Caenorhabditis elegans: one gene and its partner. The protein of the gene in region 2 interacts with the protein of the main gene of each other region in a pairwise test. Each region holds a gene or a part of one and is shown on either strand. Other genes may lie near its edges.

Region 1 (5,474 bases), 5.1 Mb from region 2:
TGTGGATGAATTGGGGATAGAAGGAAATAGAATTACTGAGAAAAGCAAAGAGATCAACGCGATGGGGATTTTGGAGGCTTATAAGGAGGTCGTATAAGAATTTAAGATTGACGGATGGGGAATATTCAGGCGTTATTTGCCTGCTCACAGGCATCCACCCAATCAGAATAGACGTCGATTGGCTCGGAGAGGTAGTTGATGTTTGTTTGGAAGTCTTCAGAGCAGACACGACACGAGATATAACCGACATTCTTTTCGCGATCCCTGGAAAATTATTACGTTTTTTTTTGAAACGATTTTCCTTAGAAAGTACATTTTCACTTCACAAACGCGTTCATGATTGCAAAACGGACAGTTGAATTGGGTGTCGAGTGGCATTACAGCCTTTGCCTTGGTTGGAGCCTTTCTCTTCGACTTTCGCTTTCCCATTGCTGCGGATTGTTTGGATTGGTTCTGAAAAACAATTATTAAGTTCGGGAAACGTAAAAAGAACAGAATATTTTTGCAGAAGGTAAAAATATGTTCCAATCTCGAAAAAAAAGTTCGAAAATTACATTTAAATTGCAAGAAAATATACTAATATACAAACCACTCAAAAATGCGACACTCAGAAATACTATATTGTTTTTTTCTGTATTCTAAAAACTATAACGTATGCACAATGTGAAAATTTTTCGTGAGTGTCGGCTTGAAATTCCACATTTTTGGACTTCAAATTCACAAAATTTTTTGAATCATCAGGTTTTATATGGAAAATTTACCTATTTTGACACAAAACATAATATTTCTATCATATAAAAACGGCAAAAATCCGGCAAAAAGTAACACGAAAAACAGCCAAAAAAGAAATTTCGAAACAAAATTGGCGCGAGGAAGACAGTTAGATGCGCAGGTTTTCTCGACTACGGTCTGCAGTACACGTTGCGTACTGCGTACAAAAAATGTTGACCGTAGTCTCCAAAACAATTAAGCATTTATCGGACTTTCCGGAGCAGGATTTATTCATTTTATGCTTAAAATTAAACATTTCTCAATATTTTATCAATAAATTAAATGAGAAAATTGTTTAAATCGTTAAAAAGCATTAAATAATGCTGAAAAACGTTAATTTTCAATAAAATATCTTTCTAGTGATGCAATGCAACTCAAAATTATAATTTAACAATTAAAATTATCTAAATTCAAATTTAAATATTCAGATGGGCCTCAAGGGATTCACCGGTAGTTTTCAACAAATTCGCGGACTTCTACGACCACCAAAGAATCTCCCGTTCCGTGGAATTTTCCGGAAAGACGGAGAAGTTGTGCGAAAAGACGATTTGCTGGTGAATCAATTCAAAATGAATTATCATCCAGGGTTAAATGTAAGATTTATTATCAAATATCTTTGATTATTGAGAAGTTATTCAGGTTTACTATGAAAACGATCGCGGAGAACGTCTTCTGCGTGCCCATTGCGACGGAATCGTTCGTATCTCCCAGGAAAAATGCGATCCGGACTATGAAATTGAGGAGATGAAGGGATACGAGTATAGGAAAGACGTGGATTTGTACAAAATGACGTTCAATGTGATTCCGCTGGAATTGTCTCAGAAGCACACGCTGCGACATGAAATTTAAATTTAATTTTTTGTCGATTTTTTTTTTGGTTTTGTTGTGTTTAATAATTTTCTGACGGGCTATGGTCAATTAGAATAGTAAATAATGTTTTTCCGCTCTGGATAGCTTAATTTTGTAATTTTTAATTGGTTTTCTTGCCATTTTTACCTATTTCCGTCCTATTTTTCCCCTCCTTTCCAACCAAATCTTCCAGATGGATAACCCGGATGGTCCGAATTTGGAGCGGGACGTTCAGCGTATTCTAGAGCTCATGGAGCACGTTCAGAAGACTGGAGAGGTCAATAATGCAAAATTGGCATCGCTGCAGCAGGTGCTACAATCCGAATTTTTCGGTGCCGTCCGAGAGGTCTATGAGACTGTTTATGAATCAATTGATGCGGATACAACGCCAGAGGTTCAGTTTTTTTTGATAAAACTGACAAAAATGCCGGAATTGAAATTTCCGGCAAATCGGCATATTGCCGGAATTCAAATTCCTGGAAAATCGGCTTATTGTCGGAATTGATAATTCCGGCAAATTGGCAAACTGTCCGAATTAATACTTCCGCCATATCTGCAAATTGTGGTTTTGCACATTTTTTTTGGAATTTTCAAAATTTAAATTTTAAAAAATTCAAAAAGGCACAGTTTTAAGTGTTTCCGTATAATGAAAATCCCTACAAAAAATTCCGGAAAATCGGTAGTTCGGCGAAAATCAAAATTTTCGGCAAATCGGCAAATTGCCGGAAATGCAAATTATGGCAAATCGGCAATTTGCCGAATTTGGCAAAAAAAAAGCCGAGCGACAATTGCCGCCAACCTTGATAATTAAAAGTTGTCGAAATTTCAAATTGTAGTTTTTTTATTTTTCGAAATAATTTTGAGCCGTTTTTGAACAACAGAAAACAAAAAAAAACACTAAACATTTTTCAGATAAAAGCCGCCGCAACAGCTAAAGCAACAGTGGCGGCGTTTGCTGCAGCCGAAGGCCACGCGCATCCACGTATCGTTGAGCTCCCAAAAACCGATCAAGGGCTTGGATTCAATGTTATGGGCGGCAAGGAGCAAAATTCACCGATTTACATCTCCAGGTGCAGATATAAAAATATTTAATGATTTTATAATTTAAAAAAAACGATTTGAATTGCAGAATAATCCCTGGTGGCGTAGCCGACAGACACGGAGGTCTCAAACGAGGCGATCAACTTATTGCGGTCAACGGAGTGGTGGGTTAAATGTTTAATTCAATTTTTTTTTAGTTTTTTTCGGAAAAAAAACATCGAAAAATATTGATTTTTCAATGTTTTTCAATGAAAAAAAAATCTAAAAATTCATTTTTTTAAGCAAAAAACGAAACTTACTTTAATTTAAGTGTTTTTTTATCGAAGATTTCAGATTTTTAGTGTTTTTCAGAAAATAAACCGGAAAAAAGTAAAGGAACCAGTAATAAAAGACAGAATTTTTCGGTTTACGAAGATTTCCATATAAAAGAACATTATAAATTTTTCTTAATATTTTTTTTCGAAAAAATGAACAATTTATTCTCATTTTTTAAAATTGAAAACAACTACACTTTTAATTAGTAGAAGAATATAACTCGAATTAGAAAAAAAACTTTGATTCAAAAAAATAACTTTAAAAAAATTTCAGAACGTGGAAGCCGAATGCCACGAAAAAGCAGTTGATCTTCTGAAATCCGCAGTCGGAAGTGTAAAGCTAGTGATCCGTTATATGCCGAAACTCCTGGATGAAATGGAGCGGAGATTCGAAAGACAGAGAATTCGATCCACTCAGCAGAGTCCAACACTCCCGACGCCGTCTTCTTCGACAAATCCACGAAGATAAAAAAGACGGAACATTTGTAGAAATCAAGAATTCGAGAATTTTTGGAAAAAATACGAAAAAAGCCACAACAAAACTAAATGTTACGGGAACACTAAATTTCGAGAATGCGTACTGCGCAACATAATTGACGCGCAAAATATCTCGTAGCGAAAACTACAGTAACTCTTTAAAATATTACTGTAGCGCTTGTTTCGATTTACGGACATCATTTATTAATCGATGAAATATCGAAAGAAAACACAAAAAAAAGACAACAAAAAAACAAACAAAAAAATATATTTTTATTTTTTATACAAATTTGTGTTCGAATTGGTTTTTCGTTTTTTTTTTTGTTGTCTTTTTTATGTTTTCAAATGATGTCCGTAAATCGACACCAGCGCTACAGTAGTACTTTATAAAATTACTGTGGTTTTCTCTTCGAGATATTTTGCGCGTCAATTATGTTGTGCAATACGCATTCATGTGCTCCCGTAATATAGATAATGGACATTAAAACAATATTTCTAAAATTTTTGCATCAAAATGTTTTGAGGCCCCACGAAAAGGGGAGCAAAACGAAAAGGGGATCTGCAAAAAGGGGATCTGCAAAAAGGGGATCTGCGAAAAGGGGAGATACGAAAAGGGGAGCAACGAAAAGGGGAGCTGGCACTGTGCCAAACGCACAAAACGCAATTTTTCTCACGCAACGCACGTTGATTTTTGAAATTTTCTTCTAGAAGATACGCTTAACAACACGCGACGCGTAACATCGGAGCATCGTTGTATCGTTTTCTTCGAGAAAAATAGCGCTTGGCACAGTGCCAGATCCCCTTTTCGTTGCTCCCCTTTTCGTATCTCCCCTTTTCGCAGATCCCCTTTTTGCAGATCCCCTTTTCGTTCTGCTCCCCTTTTCGTGTGGCCTCAATGTTTTACTGCAAGAGTTCGCATTTTTCTGCAAACATTGATTAGTTTAGCCGAGAAAATAGAACTTTTGTAGCAATATTGAAAGATCTTTTCTTGAAACTGAAATTTTCGCTGAAAAGTTTGCATTTTCCACCATAAAATCCCTATTTTTTCTATTTTTTTCCAGTTCATGTATACTCATTTCTAACTTCTTCTCTTCTATTCTTTGTTCTAGATTTTTAGATATCCCTATATGTACATTATTATCTCTTTTTCCGTTTTCAGACAAATTTCCAAAACAATGTTAATCTCAACACTCACCCTCTCCCCAAATTATTGCCCAAAAATTGCTTTAATAATCTTGCTTTGCCTTACGTTCTTTCAAATAGGTGCTTTTCTCCATGTATCTTTAATAACTAAATTTTTAAAATAATTTTTTTTCATTTTTCGGCATTTTTAAAAAAATATTTTCCATGTTTCAAAAATCACGAAAATCTATCTTTTTGATGTAAAATTCAACTTTTTTCAGATTTTTTTTTCAGAATTTTCTCGAAATGCTCACACAAAAAATCGGCAGACTAATGGCTTGTACAGTAACCCGACAGGCTCATCGGATGCTCACCGAGCAAGAGATTAAAGTGACGAATAAGGCAGCGAGCAGGCTTAAAGTTAGTCTGTCCTTGGGCGCCCAATTTTTTTGAAAATTAGAAATATTGTAAATGGAAAAACGAGAAATTTCGATTTTCCAGTTTTTTTTTTCGGAAAAAAATCGGCACTTTCCTATTTTTCAAAGTTTTTCAAAGCATTTAATTTCCGGTGTTTTTTTTACAAAAAAATTGTATACTTTTGATTTGTAGTGCTTTTCAGAGAAACCCCGATTTTCAAAAAAGAAAGTTAAAAAATTTTGTGAATATTGTTCGAAAATTCAATTTTTTTCAATGACTAGAAAAAAACCTTAATTTAAAAAATTAATTCTTCAAGGAAGTCGTTGATAACGGAGAACGCCTACGACTTGAGGTGGATGGAGGTGGATGCTCGGGATTTGAGTATAAAATTCGATTGGACAAAAAAATTAACAACGACGATTTATTATGGAAATCATCAGAGAATGGAGCTGAAATTGTGGTGGATGAGGTGAAAACGTGTAA
Region 2 (5,214 bases):
TGAATAACGAAATTCTCAAAGATTATACGATGATCTCAAAAACCAAGAAAGAAATACTTACGCATGCTCTATTATCAAATGACCATCAATTTGTTCGCAGCCTTCCAAGTTTTTAAGTGTCTCGTTTGTCAGATGTCCATCGACCGTGCAAACTAAAAATTTTGTATTTATTGAGCTTTTAGGGATTTTGTAGGAATTAGTGCAGCTTGAAATTGATTTATTTCAAAAAGAAAACGTACTTTTTGGACAGCTGGAACTTCTGCATTTTTCACACTCTCTAACATCTTTTGTAGCATCATAATGGTGACCATCTGAGCAGTGACGAACACATACATCGTTTTCGATTAGAAGTTCAGCTGAAAAAGTATTTCGTGAGTTGTGGATTCTGCTTATTCATCATTTATCTCTATCCAAATAACTTACGAGGGCATTCTTTCACACAATGATTTCCATTTTGGTATCTTCCGTCTGGGTTAAAAACTAATCGTCCTGTTTTGTGATTGAAAATTTTTCGCGATGGGCACGTTTCGATACAGATTCCATCCAATTCATATTTACTGCAGGCAATGCAATTTTTTGGTCCGTGACCTGTACATCCTCCAAGACAAGCCGAGTCACAACATTCGTATGAACTTGTAGAGTTCGAGTAGAAACACTGAGAACAAGATTTTGGACATACGGAACGGTAGACTGAAAATATACTGCATATTGGTGAATTTTATTTACATAATTTCTTTAAAATAATTTTGAAACTTTTGATCGTTCTGTGTCAAAAATTAAATTTTTTCAGAAGTTTGAAAAATTCAGCCACAATGAACAAAAACTTATGTCTAGTCTAATTTTTTTGCTAACCTCGTTGACAATCATTGTCTCCGGATCCCCAACATTTATCATTACAACTTTCATGGCATTTTGCCATTGATTTTCCATTTTGATAGCAATGTTGATGTGAGTTTGTAGTTTCAACTTTCTGTACATCTGGGTCGTACAGTAACTCCTTCCAATCGATTTTATCCCCAATGTAACACATTTTTGGATTGTCTTGAATTGTGACACTTCCATTCCTAATCACTGAAAAATAAAAATAAAATACTATGTCTCTAAAAGCTGAGCAAACAAACCTCTCAACTCTCTCATCACAACTTCGTGAACTTTATCATTTTTATGAATGTACAATGCATTATCGTGAAAAACCTCGTCTCCGTAGATTACTCGTAGTCTTGGAAATGATATTTTTTGAATATTCGCACGATAAATTATTAAGCTTCCTCGAATCTGAAAAATAAAGGTAAAGGAAGATTTAAGCAAAAACGTTTTTGGTAGAAAATACATCTATTGTTGTAGATGTTTTCATACTCACCTCCTCTAAATTATCAAAAAAGTTAATTGATTTCAATGGTGAATCTTCATTTTTTGGGTCCACAGTGCTATTCGTCGATTCTCTCCATTTCTTTATTTCATTTGCTTCTATCCATGTTATTTCAAGATTTCCATAAACACGACGACACCCTCGGTACATCTAAATCAAGACATTTTTCCTTGTTTTGGCAAAAAATTTAGTTTTGCCTGGGGCTATTTGACTATTTGTTTTGGATGGTTACTTCGTCGATCCGGAACTTTTTAAATTTTTTTAAAATAAAATTCTAATCGTATGGTTTAACAGCAGAAATCAAAGATAAATCCCTATTCAACAACTTACAGTTTCCAGATCTTCCAAAATATTTCCGGTTCCATATCTCGATATTCCATTGGTTGTGCCAGAACAAACTGAAAATCAAGAATGAAATTCGTGTAAGTTTTTGTTTGATTCAAAGAGGAAAAATTCACAGAGGGGATGCATATTTTGGTTTCAAAAAATCTAGTTTCTCTAAAAATTAACTAGAATTATTTTAAAAATTTTTCTTATCTCAAAAAAAAAGAAAAAAATGGAGCCTTTCAATTTTCTTGATGATCCGATTACTTGTCCTCTGAATGACATTTTAAATGATAAAGTTCTCACGTGTCTACCGGTTACTGTACTTGTAATGAACTTTTGATAACTTTCTGTAATCGAAATATCATGATTCATGTCAAAATTAATAAAAATTTAAATTTCTACAAAAAGTATTGTATTACTTTAATGAACATTTTTTTAAAGTATATGTCTTGAAACTTTTTAGAAAGAACACATCAAATCGCATATGTATATTCTATGATTTAAAAAAAATCAGTTGCCATTGTTGACAATTTCCCATTTTATCCACTTACGGCAGTCTTGAGGTGAAACACATCTTTTCCACAACTGTGCATTAGAATTTCCAAAAAATGTTAGAAAAATAGGAATAATCAATAAAATTGAACCGATAGAGGGAGGGTATCGCATGCCTCCCAGAAAATTGTAGATAGTGAGAAAACTTGGACAAATTCTTCCTTTTTTTCACTCTTCTATGACCACTTTTCTACCTCTTATACATGTGATACCCAAAAACGGGACAGAGAGTAGTAGACTGAATGTGTGCTCATTTTCATTTCATTTTTGCCTCAATTCTAGCATTTTTCATCTTCTCAAGTGCTTCGAAATGGAATGAGTTGCAAATTTCTATGTATGAATGTGTGGGGGAAAGAGTAATTAATTGGGTTTTTGGATAAATCACGAGGACATCACAAATACCACAAAAACAATGGGAAAAGGAAATTATATTTGGATATAACGGGGTTACTCACCACTAGGATCTGTTAGGTTCCCTTTAAAAAAATGTTTGCAAATTCTGAGACATACTTTCCTGTTCGGAATGCATTTTTAAACATTATATTATTTTAACTTTTAATAAAAATCCAAAAGCTTGTTTTTTACTATGGTGGTCAATTTCATGTGGAATAATTTTCGTATTCACAGAAATCTTTTTGAGAAAAACCAAGATATAGGCGGAGTCATTTATCTATCAAAAAAATGACAAGCCAATAAAATAGGATTCATAACCTCGCTCTAATCGGTTTCAGATCCAATTTTTCACGATTTTCAAATTTTGATCAAATTGAACAAAATAATGGAAAACGTAATAATTCCAAAAGCCAACTCACATTCTCTCACCACAATCTTCCGTTGCCTCCTCCGTACAGTTACTGAACCTTGTGTTGACGTTGGTGATGCCGCATCAATTGTTGTATCAATTAAGATTATTAAAAATAAGAATAAAAAAGGGAACTTCATCTGAAATGAAAATTGGACATCAGTAATGCAGTTTTTGGTCGATATTGTCAAGAGAATTGGGAGAGGTATAGGCAGTAAAGGAGGCGATTTTTGAAACAAAAAAAGGTGATGCGAGCGAGATGGGATTAAAACTCTTCAACAACGACACAGTTCAACCATACATAGAATAACGTACAAAAATGTTTTATTGGTGTTGTGGCGCCACGTTCTTTTTGTGGTCTACGACCTATTCCCCATCGGGGGGCCCAGAGACGAGTTCTCAATATGGACGAGTTGCTGTCAAATTGTGTGAAGATAAATTGGAGGACACAATTTCGGGTACAGCTTCCGACAGTTCGTGTGTTTGGGGTAGTATGCGTTTAATATCCTAGTTTGAATGTATAGCATCTTACTGGCTTAACAAGGATTTTAAGTGGAAATTGAAATTTGAAGCCAAAATTTCTGCAAAAATTTTTTGATTTTTTTTAACGCTGAACGAACTCAATAATTTTTATTGATTGCGCAGTCCTAATTTTATTGTAAAAAAAAGAGCCGTTAAAAAATAGTGTACCTCTTGCTCCGAGAAGTTAGAAAAATGGTTTCTTTTGTGCGTGACGTCTCGAGCTCTCAAGTTCTCTCACTTTTATAATTGAAATCTATGAATCAGAGGAAAGAACAACATACGATCGGCATGGGAAACTTGAGGAGATGCTTTTAAGAAATATCGAAAAGAAAATGGCGGAAATCCGGGAAATTTTTTAATTTAGAATTTAGAAGAGTTCAGATCGATTTTCAGTTGAAAAATTATTGTAGGTTTTTGTAGTTTATATGCTGAAAAGTAAGTAAGATATATGAAACTAAAAGCTTAAAATTTCCGGTTCGTCCGAAGAATTTATTTTTCAAATGAATTTTACACCAAAAAAAATCAAAACCTCAATCACATGCCAAAACGCATTTGACGTCGTACACAAAAATTTGTCAGCAGTATTTCAAATTGTTCATATTTTTCTTTCGGTACAAGGAAAAAAGTGATAGGAGCAAGTGAGCAGGACTGTGTGGGTGGTTGATAAGGAAGAGAAGAAGACGATGGTTGTTGAGCATCTTCTCTGCTTCTCTAATTCTCATTCTTTCTTATTTCTGAGCTCTTTTAGATTGTGAATCATAATAGATTTATAAACGTGGACAATACTCAATGGACCTCCCGACAAATAGAACTTGAATATGAATAGGTTGATGGGAAAAGGCTGGGCGGCGTATTTCTATGTGCAAATGGTTATCAAATGCTTGCTTGGCGTTTTGCTTTTAGAAAACCGTTTTAAATCTAAAAAATTACATCGGGATCTTCATTGATGTTTTTAAAAACAATAGATAATGTCTCCACAATTTTTGCATTAAAAATGTTCATTGAAAACTTTAACATAAATATCTTAAAGTAAAAAGTGGATACATTCAAATTTTAGGCAAAATTCGGAGATCTATTAATTGAAACAAAAAAAACCTCTCAAAACTAATAAATCAATCTTGCAACAACACTGAAGAATGAGGGTTCTTGATTCATTTTCATTCCCTTTGAAGTCATACCGCCATCGGTTGGCAGCTAGTGGGGAAGAACACGGGCGGTCCTAATTACCATATGGTTGAACACCTAGATGCGCCTAAGAAATATGAACGAAGAGGAGATCAACATGTGGAAAATGATTGGATTTTGATTGTGTGGCTTGGCTCAGAGTCACTTTGTCTATTTCTTCGTAAAGAAAAGAGCAGAAAATTTGTTATTGAAAGTATAGGTGAGGGAGGATTGGAAAATGATGAGGGAGGGGAAGAGATTCCAGGTGTCAAGTGGGTTTATGAAGATTTATGAGAAAAAACTGAGGGCAAGGAGGAGAAGAAAAGGTATTTAGAGGTCAAGGAAGTATTAGAGACTATAAACATATATCATTTGTTCGAGGTTGCATTTTTGGATTACAGTAACCTGACCGGAAAAGGTATTGATGACTGGACCAGTGGACCATTTTGAAGCCTGTAAAATACTTCGACCTGAAAAT

Evidence for each region.
Region 1: the proteins of let-23 (region 2) and lin-7 interact in a two-hybrid assay, tested with the Caenorhabditis elegans proteins (3 studies listed by BioGRID).

Annotation. Positions count from the first base shown.
Region 1 is NC_003280.10:14,345,132-14,350,605, reverse strand, and holds lin-7 (Protein lin-7 homolog), read left to right. Parts: upstream 1-1,813; coding exon 1,814-2,014; intron 2,015-2,532; coding exon 2,533-2,690; intron 2,691-2,749; coding exon 2,750-2,825; intron 2,826-3,249; coding exon 3,250-3,444; 3' UTR 3,445-4,762; downstream 4,763-5,474. Other genes in the region: elof-1 (Transcription elongation factor 1 homolog), read right to left, coding at 126-264, 314-429; Y54G11A.17 (L51_S25_CI-B8 domain-containing protein), read left to right, coding at 1,200-1,364, 1,411-1,620; Y54G11A.9 (Core domain-containing protein), read left to right, coding at 4,881-4,994, 5,308-5,460.
Region 2 is NC_003280.10:9,195,494-9,200,707, reverse strand, and holds the start of let-23 (receptor protein-tyrosine kinase), read right to left. Parts: upstream 3,197-5,214; 5' UTR 3,191-3,196; coding exon 3,061-3,190; intron 2,725-3,060; coding exon 2,704-2,724; intron 2,452-2,703; exon of another isoform or gene 2,363-2,451; coding exon of another isoform or gene 2,248-2,362; intron 1,768-2,247; coding exon 1,700-1,767; intron 1,520-1,699; coding exon 1,361-1,519; intron 1,276-1,360; coding exon 1,122-1,275; intron 1,072-1,121; coding exon 853-1,071; intron 691-852; coding exon 424-690; intron 357-423; coding exon 240-356; intron 153-239; coding exon 62-152; intron 1-61. UniProt on the Caenorhabditis elegans protein: Tyrosine-protein kinase receptor which, upon binding ligand lin-3, activates 2 signaling cascades: the let-60/Ras and MAP kinase signaling pathway and the let-60-independent phospholipase C-mediated Ca(2+) signaling pathway.